2 linked regions of the Zea mays genome follow. The protein of the gene in region 1 binds, or shares a complex with, the protein of each later gene. Links are inferred from orthologs where the notes say so. Each region holds a gene or a part of one and is shown in the gene's direction. Other genes may lie near its edges.

What was found. The genes of interacting proteins can lie anywhere in the genome.
Region 2: probable cleavage and polyadenylation specificity factor subunit 1 (region 1) and cleavage and polyadenylation specificity factor subunit 3-II share a complex: the UniProt entries of both Arabidopsis thaliana proteins name them as parts of the CPSF complex. The link is inferred for Zea mays from reciprocal best matches to the Arabidopsis thaliana genes CPSF160 and CPSF73-II.

Annotation. Positions count from the first base shown.
Region 1 is NC_050097.1:87,302,089-87,307,846, reverse strand, and holds the start of probable cleavage and polyadenylation specificity factor subunit 1, read left to right. Parts: upstream 1-2,093; 5' UTR 2,094-2,258; coding exon 2,259-2,605; intron 2,606-2,711; coding exon 2,712-2,849; intron 2,850-3,363; coding exon 3,364-3,517; intron 3,518-3,695; coding exon 3,696-3,831; intron 3,832-5,374; coding exon 5,375-5,520; intron 5,521-5,758. UniProt on the Arabidopsis thaliana protein: CPSF plays a key role in pre-mRNA 3'-end formation, recognizing the AAUAAA signal sequence and interacting with poly(A)polymerase and other factors to bring about cleavage and poly(A) addition.
Region 2 is NC_050098.1:223,882,193-223,886,460, reverse strand, and holds the end of cleavage and polyadenylation specificity factor subunit 3-II, read left to right. Parts: coding exon 1-12; intron 13-291; coding exon 292-357; intron 358-521; coding exon 522-591; intron 592-669; coding exon 670-774; intron 775-1,102; coding exon 1,103-1,244; intron 1,245-1,370; coding exon 1,371-1,464; intron 1,465-2,285; coding exon of another isoform or gene 2,286-2,297; exon of another isoform or gene 2,298-2,571; coding exon 2,572-3,093; 3' UTR 3,094-3,241; downstream 3,242-4,268. UniProt on the Arabidopsis thaliana protein: Component of the cleavage and polyadenylation specificity factor (CPSF) complex that play a key role in pre-mRNA 3'-end formation, recognizing the AAUAAA signal sequence and interacting with poly(A) polymerase and other factors to bring about cleavage and poly(A) addition.

The DNA of each region.
Region 1 (5,758 bases):
AAGCCCCTAGTCATCTCAGAAAACCTATAAGCTTCTTCCCTTCTCTGGCGGAAATCATTATCGGCCTGGATGTACTCATCCATCTTCTGAAGCAGCTTCTCAATGACGATTTCATTGGGCACTGTGGGTGCTTGTGCTCTCAAACGCAAGAACCTTCGGACATACGCCTGGAGGTATTCTTCGTGATCTTGCGTGCACTGGAACAAAGCTTGAGCATTAACTGGCTTCGTCTGGAACCCTTGAAAACTGGTGATCAGCATGTCCTTCAGCTTCTGCCATGATGTGATTGTTCCTGACCGAAGAGAGTAGTACCAGGTTTGTGCAACATTCTTGAATGCCATGACGAAGTATTTCGCCATGATTGCAGTATTGCCCCCATATGAAGATATGGTTGCTTCGTAGCTCATCAGAAACTGCTTTAGATCTGAGTGCCCATCATACATGAGGAGATGGGGTGGATTGTATGATGGCGGCCATGGGGTAGCCTGCAGTTCTGCTGATAGAGGAGAAGCATCATCAAAAGCAAAATTTCCATGATGCAAATCATCATACCATTCGTCATCATCGTAGGAATTGTCCTGACGAAGCTCTCTGCGTTGAGATCTTCGGTCCTGGTCATCTTGAGTGAGATGACACATTTCCTCAGCAGCCTCATCGATCTTCTTCTGTAAATCGGAGAGACGAAGCATCTTCTCCTTCTTCCTCTGGACCTGTTGATGGATGGCTTCGAGGTTTGGTCCAACTCCTCCTCCTGAGGCGTTGGACTTGTAGCCTTCCTTTTTTGGCTTCTGGCTTCGCGTAGTGTTTCTTGGTTGACGTCCAGCGACTGTAATGCAGCCCCTAGCCCGGAAGACTTCTTCGGCGGCATGACGAAAAGATCATAGCTTTGCCGAAGGTGGTCGAATGAGTTCACCGGAGGTGGATACCAATGTTGGGGACTTGTTCTCAAATACTATGAATTAAGAACAAGGCAACACAAATGTTAATGGTTAAAGGTCTTCATCCTCCGAAGCATTATCTCCTTTAAGATATAATGATCTTCAAACGAAGGTCGTGAAGGTCATACCTTCATCATTTCAATATATAATGGAAAGCAGAAGCATGAGTTACGTATAAAGAATACAAATAATCATTATATTACTTATATTCTTATTGAATAACCATGAATAAACATTAACAATATTGAATTATATTGATACCTTCGGCTTGATAGAAGGTAAGAATCCAAGTGTGACGTGAAAATGAATACAAGTCAGCGTGAACAGTACAGTGCTACTGTTCATCTATTTATAGGCACATGACGCAGCCTGTGTAAAATTACATCCATACCCTTGACATTTACTATTGACTTAGCGATAATCTATCGAGGACTAGACAACCTTTTCCCCTTTAAGTCGGTTTCATTTTCCACCGCTAAGCCGAAGCTTCTACACGGGTATCTTCGGAACTGGTTCATCCTTCTCCCAAACTGCACTTTTCATATCGTGTACAACTTTATCCCAAGGCTGAAGGTCCCTGTATATATATTATACTTGGAGAACATGTTAGTCGTGTTTTTGAAGACCTTCGAAAGATAAAGGCCCCAACACCTAAATCCTTGCAACTAAATACGTGGATTATATTTGTGTGAGCTGATTGCCTGAATTTTGTGTACCTGACATGTAAATGTGTTGATTATATTTGTGTGAGCTGTTGGCATGCTTTTATTTATTTGGCATGAGAGACACCCTGTAAGCTCAGGTTTTTTAATTCGGGTTTTATCGATAAACCAAAGTAAAAAACCAATACCGAACTTGTCACCTTTTCTTTTTATGTAAACCCATCGGTTTTTTATATGAAAAACCAAAAAACCAACCGAATTTTTAAAAAACCGAATGCCCAGCCCAGCCTAAGAGGGTGTTTGAATGCACTAGGGCTAATAGTTAGTGACTAAAATTAGTTGAAACATCCAAACATCCTAGCTAATAGTTTAACTATTAACTATTTTTGTAAATTAGTTAATAGTTAGGTAGTTATTTATTAGCTAGCTAATTCCACTAACAAATTTTAGCCAACTAACTATTAGTTGTAGTGCATTCAAACACCCCTAAGTATGAATAAGCTAGTCCCAAAATTGCAAAAAATGTCTTCGCTGAGCGAAGGGTTTTCTAGGGTTTTGGTACGAAACCCCCCTTCGTCCCGTCGCATTTCGTTCAAAATCGCGCGGTCAAATCCGAGCTCGGGGCCATCGCCGTCGCCGCGCCTCCCATCCCGCGAAGATGAGCTACGCGGCGTACAAGATGATGCATTTGCCCACCGGAATCGACCATTGCGCTGCCGGCTTCATCACCCACTCCCCCGCCGACGCTGCCGCCTTCTCCACGCCCGCGCCCGCGCCCACCGCCGCCGCTGGACCCGACGGCGATATTGACTCCACTGCGGCTAGGGCACCCCGGCGAGTGGGTCCTACCCCCAACCTGGTTGTGTCGGCGGCTAACGTGCTCGAGGTGTATGCCGTGAGGGCCGAGGTCGCGACTGGGGCCGAGGATGCGGGTAATTCTTCGTCTACCGGCACCATCCTGGATGGTATCTCCGGGGCTCGACTGGAACTTGTGTGCCATTACAGGTGCAAACAAATGGCTCTTGCCTCTTTGCATTCACTTTTAGCTGTAAATTTCAGGTATTGATTTTGTGCATCTTGGAGGACTAATCATTCTCTGAACGACATTTAGGCTTCACGGTAACATTGAATCGATGGCTGTGTTGTCCGATGGCACAGAGAATAGGCGAGACTCCATTGCAGTTACGTTTAACGATGCAAAAATAACATGTCTGGAGTTTGATGACAGCATCAATGGCCTGCGGACAAGGTAGCACATAATCCACTCGTTTCTCATTTTGGACAACTTAGGAATAAAAAAAGTTCAATTGCTGTATGTCGGCACAATGATGTAAATTTAAAAGTAATAACAGCATTGGATATTAGAGTTTTTCTTATGGCGTGACAAGGGATAAATGAAACAATATCAACTTACAAAGAAAGACCCCATGTTTTTTTTCTGTTTGAGGTGTCGAAGGATTCTACTTTTTGTCATTTTTAGATTCACTTTATTGATTGCTTTGTTGGGTACTTGGGTATCATCTACGGATCGGTGTACCCCAACTTGCTTGGGATTAAAAGGATTTGTTTTTGCTGTGTAGTCATTTTAGAACCAAGCTGCTGATGATTGAGCTAGTTTGCTCACAAATAGATAAAGTTACATGTAGCACTGTTTTTCTTCTCTGACTTTCTTTCTAATGTACACTAACCTAAACTAATTGCTCTTCTTGATTGAGCTCGTTTGTTGTCCCTTGCCTAACAGATTATGATTCGTGATGTTGCAGCTCAATGCATTGTTTTGAAGGCCCTGAATGGTTCCATCTGAAAAGGGGCAGGGAATCATTTGCCTGGGGTCCTATCATAAAAGGGGATCCTCAAGGCAGATGTGGTGCTGTACTTGTTTATGGATTACAGATAATAATTTTGAAAGCAGCTCAGGTGGAGTTCGCTTGATGGTCTCCTTTTTCATCATGAAATTCAACTATCTGTGGTTTATTCTTAGCTCTTATAATTTTGATTCATTTAACCTCAACTTTTAGTCTGGTTTTCTAACATTCTGAGAACTAAGCTGGGCTCTTTCGAACCAGTTACAAGGGTTTTACTTATGCATTATTAGGTTGGGCAGAGCTTAGTAGGAGAGGATGAACCTACACGCGTGTTGAGTTCCACTGCTGTTCGGATTGAATCTTCGTATGTGATTGATTTACGTGATCTAGAAATGAATCACATCAAAGACTTTACATTTGTGCATGGTGAGATAGGATCTATTTTTACTTTATTTTCACTTTGGATTGTTTTCTATATCAAAGCCCGCATTTTAATATTTGTTTTATCATGGTTACTAAAGCGGTAAATCGATAAAATGTTAGGAGCCACTTTTTCAACATTTAAATGTTGAGACGAACGTTGAAACATCTTTTCAGACTTGACATAAAACGACATGATAGGATATGTTCATACTCATAAGTTGAGTACTTGAGTTCACAAAACAAATAGTATAAAAGGAAATGGATTAAGTTCAACCACACCAGTCTATGCAACATGCAATTTAGAACTTGCATTTAGGATTAGTAACAATCATCCAACTCATCAATATCAAGAGCGTGTGCATCCATTTCTTGATCATCACCATCCGTCTTCATCTTCACTTGCTGAATTAGCCTCCTCTTCCTCAATGGCATGATAGAGGAGCAGGGCGACGATGAAATGGCGATGAAATGGTGGATTTACTGGATGCTGGTGCATGGCGTCTTGACCTAGGACCTGATAGCTGCTGGCAACACTGGCTACTAGAGGAGCTAGAGGGCGGCGTTGGCTAGTGGCGGCGTTGGCTAGTGGCAGCGTTGGAGGTGGCGGGTGTTGGTTGCTGGCGACGATGATGGGTGGCGTTGTTGGAGGAGGCATGCGATGTTGGATCAAGCGGCGCTGTAGCGGGTGGCAAGGTTATTAAAACGATAAAACACTCATGGGTGAAGTTTTGTCTTTAAACGTTTAAACTTTGTAAACTTTGTTTAAACGTAGTTTTAAACAACATATGAAAAATAACAATATATCATAATTTCAGACAATAACATGAAGTTAAATACCAAAACAGAGAGGTTAGTGGCTTACCAAAACTTCACCCATGAGCCGGATTGGACCCAAAAGTAACTAACAGACTGGGTCCAAAAGTAGCTAATGGTATAAAACGCATGAAACACTGCGTTTTACAGTTTAGAACGCCAAAACGCTTAAACACGGTTTCAACCTCTAATTAGAGTTTTGACGTTTAAACGTAGTTTTGATAACAGTGGCGGAGCTTCACCATAGGATTTGGTGTGTGTGTGTGGGAGTCTATATAATTGAGGACTAAACAATGATGAATAGCACAAAGATCACTATTTAGACAATGAAGATCACATTAGGCAGGGTTGGCCATGGCCTGGCTTGGTCTTAACCAAGCTCCGACCTTGGATTCAGATATGGTCGGTGGCTGCAGAGATGGACAGCATGGCCATGCAGAGGGGCAGCATGAGCCGCAAAGAGGAGTCAACCGGGGGGGGGGGGGGGGTGTGCGTGGGTCGGAGATTCACCCAAGGGATCAGCTACAGGCTAGACCTCCTCTCCTACACTATAACTTGGTGATGATTTATGGGACACAGTTGTTTAATTTTGTTCTTTTGCTTTGGCCACTGCTTCTAGTTCTGTGTATCACAAGTTCCTTTGTTTCCACACATTTTGCATACATATTTGTTAATATTGGTACAAACTTACCATATTCAGAACTCAGCCATTTCCATTTTATGATGCCTTCAGGTTATATTGAGCCTGTGTTGGTCATACTTCATGAGCGAGAGCCTACATGGGCTGGGCGTATCTCATCGAAGAGCCAAACATGCATGCTATCTGCGTTTAGTATAAGCATGGGTTTAAAGCAACATCCGATGATATGGTCTGCTGCTGTAAGTGTTCAAGATCAGTCATAAGCTTTTGCCTGTTTTTGTCTAAGTTCACTGTCTTCCATATGTGTTCTGACATTGTTTGAGCAAAAGATTCATGGCATATTTATGTGGCTTGGCTATCCAAGAATCATCAAATCAATTTGTTATATCTTGTTGATAAAGTATGCTAGTGTAGTAGTGTTGTTTTTTAATGATAACTTCTGCAATTTTATACAAATAAGCAATGTTTCACAGGTTT
Region 2 (4,268 bases), on another chromosome or scaffold:
TTTTTAAAAGCGGTATGAAAATCTGAACTTTGCTGCAGCCTGCAGTGTATATATTTGTAGATTTTCGTAATCAATGCTTTTCCGATGGTGTACTACTCTATTTTCTAGGTTTTGGATCCTATGTGCTCAATATTATTTGGGCACACAACACAGTTCACTAAGTGTATCTATATTTTTTATTCCTGATGTTTTCGTCCAAGAAGATGCACTCTGACTGTATTAAACCAATCTTCTGAAGTGTACACAGTTGATTTTACTTCCAAAGCATAACTGAGTATATGTTTCCTCTAGGTACATAAATGTGTTTCTGGTGGAGGTAAAGTTCTAATTCCAACGTTTGCTCTGGGAAGAGCTCAGGTATTGTAGTTCTCTTAATTCTACTTTATGAGACAAAGTGATGGTTAAGTGTGATAACTATATATGACTTAAATGAGCAAGTTTCCCTGAGAAGTACCATTCCGAGGGCACACTGTTCAAAGGTTTCATAATTTGAGTATCTATTTGTGACGCTTGTATTTCAGGAACTATGTATGTTACTGGATGACTATTGGGAGAGGATGGGCTTGAAAGTTCCTATTTATTTTTCAGCTGGTATGCGTGGTCTCTTGAAAGTTGAAACCTTGTACTTTCTGCTGCATGTGAAGTTATCTTTGATTATTTGTGCTATAGGTTTAACCATTCAAGCTAATGTGTACTACAAAATGTTGATTGGGTGGACTAGTCAAAAGATCAAGGACAGCCATACAGTGCATAATCCATTTGACTTCAAGCATGGTATGGTTCAGTTCTTTAAAAGCTAATTGTCCAATCCTACTTTGAATGAAGATAAATTTCATATGATTGAGTTGAAAATCTAAATATTCTGTAGATTTTTAACTAACCAACCCTCCAAGTTATCCCTTTTTTCCCTATTATTTGTAACTGTATGTCACCAATTGATTTTTTGTTTCTTTATTATTGAAATATTTGTTTATTTAATCATATTTTTGATAATAATTGTTGCTATTTCACTTTTTATGGGTAACCACAGTTGAGGTATGAGGTGTTCTGTCTTTTATTTGCAAATATTGGAATAACAGAGACAACATTTTTCACATTTCAGTTTGCCACTTTGAACGTTCCTTCATTAACAACCCTGGTCCCTGTGTACTTTTTGCAACACCTGGTATGATTACTGGGGGATTTTCCCTTGAGGCGTTTAAAAAATGGGCACCATCAGAGAAGAATCTGGTTACACTTCCAGGGTATATTCTTTATCTTTCTTGTTTTTCCATTTTTCAATCTTTTAAATTACTTGCATGTAGACAAGCTTTACCAAACCCTTTACTCTACAATTATTCTGATGCCACCTTTCTATTTTTCCCGCACAGATATTGTGTTTCTGGAACCATTGGTCATAAGTTGATGTGTGGGAAACCTACAAGGGTTGATTACGAGGACACTCATATTGATGTCAGATGTCAGGTCGATTTTCACGTCATTTCATATCTTGCAAAAAATGTACAACTTTAAATAATAATGACAAGAACATGGTCAACCAGGGGGAAGCCATGTAAATCACTAGTGTTTTAAACACTGTTGAAGTCTGGCTTTTAAATTCGATCCATATCAATCCCCACTTATCGTTCTGCATGGGTGCTTACTCGAGGCCCTTAGTTGTCTATTGCAGTTGGCTGGCTGTGGTCGTTTTTGTTTCTGTCTCTCAGTTTTTTGTGAGTAGTATGTCTGTATGTATTGAGGAGCTTTCCTAGTCCCCTCCCTGTTTTGCACATTTTATACTTTATCTTAATCTACTCATTACCATTCATGATGCATATATGAATGTTTGCGCGAAAGGGCCTCTAGCTGAGTTGGTTAGGTGGTCTGAGTAGCACTCCTCAGGTCCTGGGTTCGACTCCCCGTGGGAGCGAATTTCAGGCTGTGGTTAAAAAAATCCCCTCGTTTGTCCCATGCCAAAGCACAGGTCTAAGGCTCAGCCCCGGTCGTGGTCGTTCTCACATGGGCTTCGATGCCGCTGTGTATGGGTGGGGCAGGGGTTCGGGGGTTTTCTCGACCTGTGTGAGAAGGTCTTCTTCTTAATTCTATGCCCGGGGGCTGTCTTACCCCTCGCAGGTCGAGTTTTATATATGAATGTTTGCACTCAACATAATAGCGCTCCATATGAAACGTGTAGTCTAGGAATTGGAGCTTTCTGTGAGGTTAATCATGATGTTTGAAGTTCCTGACAGAATGCTGCTGTCAGTGTCTAACATATTACACTTCGGTTGTCCCTTTTGGCACTCTAGGGGTGTGTTTGATTGCGGGACAACTTGGACAGCCATGTCTCCCGGCATCCCCTCTCTCTGTCTAGTTCTGACAGGCAGCTGAGGACGACGGCATTGGGATGGTTCTATTTCAACCCTGACCTTGAATCAAACAACCTTATATAAGGGATCGTCCTATCCCATCATTGCAACAAAACACACCCTAGATTTACTCCAACCATTGCACTTTTCATTTTTGATATTTTTTGCCCCCTCATACTGAGTTTTTTTGCCCCCCCCCCCCCCCCCCCCCCCCTTATTTTACCAGATCCATCAGCTAGCATTCAGTCCTCATACAGACTCCAAAGGGATTATGGATCTGACAGAATTCCTGTCACCCAAAAATGTAATTCTCGTTCATGGTGAAAAGCCTCAGATGGCTTTTCTTAAGGAGAGGATCGAATCTGAATTGGGGATGCCTTGCTACTACCCAGGGAATAATGAATCCGTCTCCATTCCGACAACCCAGAACCTTAAAATGAGTGCTACAGAAAGGTTCATTACAGGCTGTGCTGTGGAGCAAGGTAAACGTAGCCTGCACAAGCGGAACCTGATTTATGGTACAGGTTTGTCAGAAGAGATTGGCAGTGATGAGGCGGCGGGGGAGGGCGTTCTTCTGATGCAGAAACACAAGTCTCCGAAAATTCTTTGTGAGGATGAGCTCCTTGAGGTGCTGGGCATGGGTCGGCATCTTGTCCAGTTTGAACCAATGGTCTCCAGAATTGTAGCTGCTGTTGAATCCGAGTTGCAGCGGGCTAAGGCAGCGGATTTAGATAACGATGGGAAATGAATGGAACAATATAAATGTACATTGCCATAATTTTGGCTGATTACTGTTTCACCTTTCTTTCCCAAAAATGCGAGTAATGTCCTACACCACTTCAGCACTATTACTGACAAGTCTCTTTAAGGTCCTTGGGAGTTACCAAGTTATACAATATCTAGAGAGCTACTATCGCATAAAATAGGGATTTGTTATTCTGTTTGTATAGTGAAATTTGAAATAAAAGAAGAGATAGGCCAGCTGTCAGAGACAGCCTCAACTCGGTGTCGTTCTATCGCCCAGGGTGGCATTCTATCGCTTCATAAGTCAATATTTCTAAGTATAATAAGATATGTATAAAAATATTAAACTTATGGCGTATAATTAATAATATTAGATGAGTTACTGAATATATTTTTATAATAAACTTGTTGAAAGATATAAATGTTGCTAATATTTTATATAAATTTATTTATTTTTTAAAAAATTGACTATCACGATTCACGAATCCTATAATATCACTTTTTTGAGACGGAGATAGCGTTACTCCTTTTGAGGTGGAGTGTTACCAAATTTGGTACCTCCGTAGGCTCGATTTCTTTGTGCCTTTGAAGATAAGAGTAAATTTTACTAGAAAACTATTTAGTGCAAATTATCTACTCACTGGAATGGTGAAAACCGTATACAAATATACTTATAAGTTTCTAAAAAATTAAAATCGTGCACATTTATAATGTACCTATGGATGTATATAATCTTAAATTTTAAGATTGAAATCCAATCTAAAATATTATATATAAAATGGCAAATTTGTAGTGCATATGCACTAGAGGACAAAATCCTAGGAATTTTGTTGTCCCCTCAATAAATAAAGGCTTGGGCTAAAAAAGTCATGCATGGGGAAGTCGTGTTTCTATATGAAATTTTATAAAAACATGTTTGAACCAAGTGTACATCTTTATATATGACTATGTACTATGGATATGTAAAGTTTCATTTTTTGAAAATCTTTAAATATATATTTTAAAGGATTTGCACTGAATAATTTGTCAATTGTACTTGGTGGTATTGAACTTGTTCTATAAGTTGTAAACACAACTTTCTAAACTTACTATGAGTTTTGTAGTCACCTAAATTGCACACTTGGTTCTCTCAACCTACACACTTAGTTCTCTAAAATTGTTTCAAATTCTTCTCTCTTA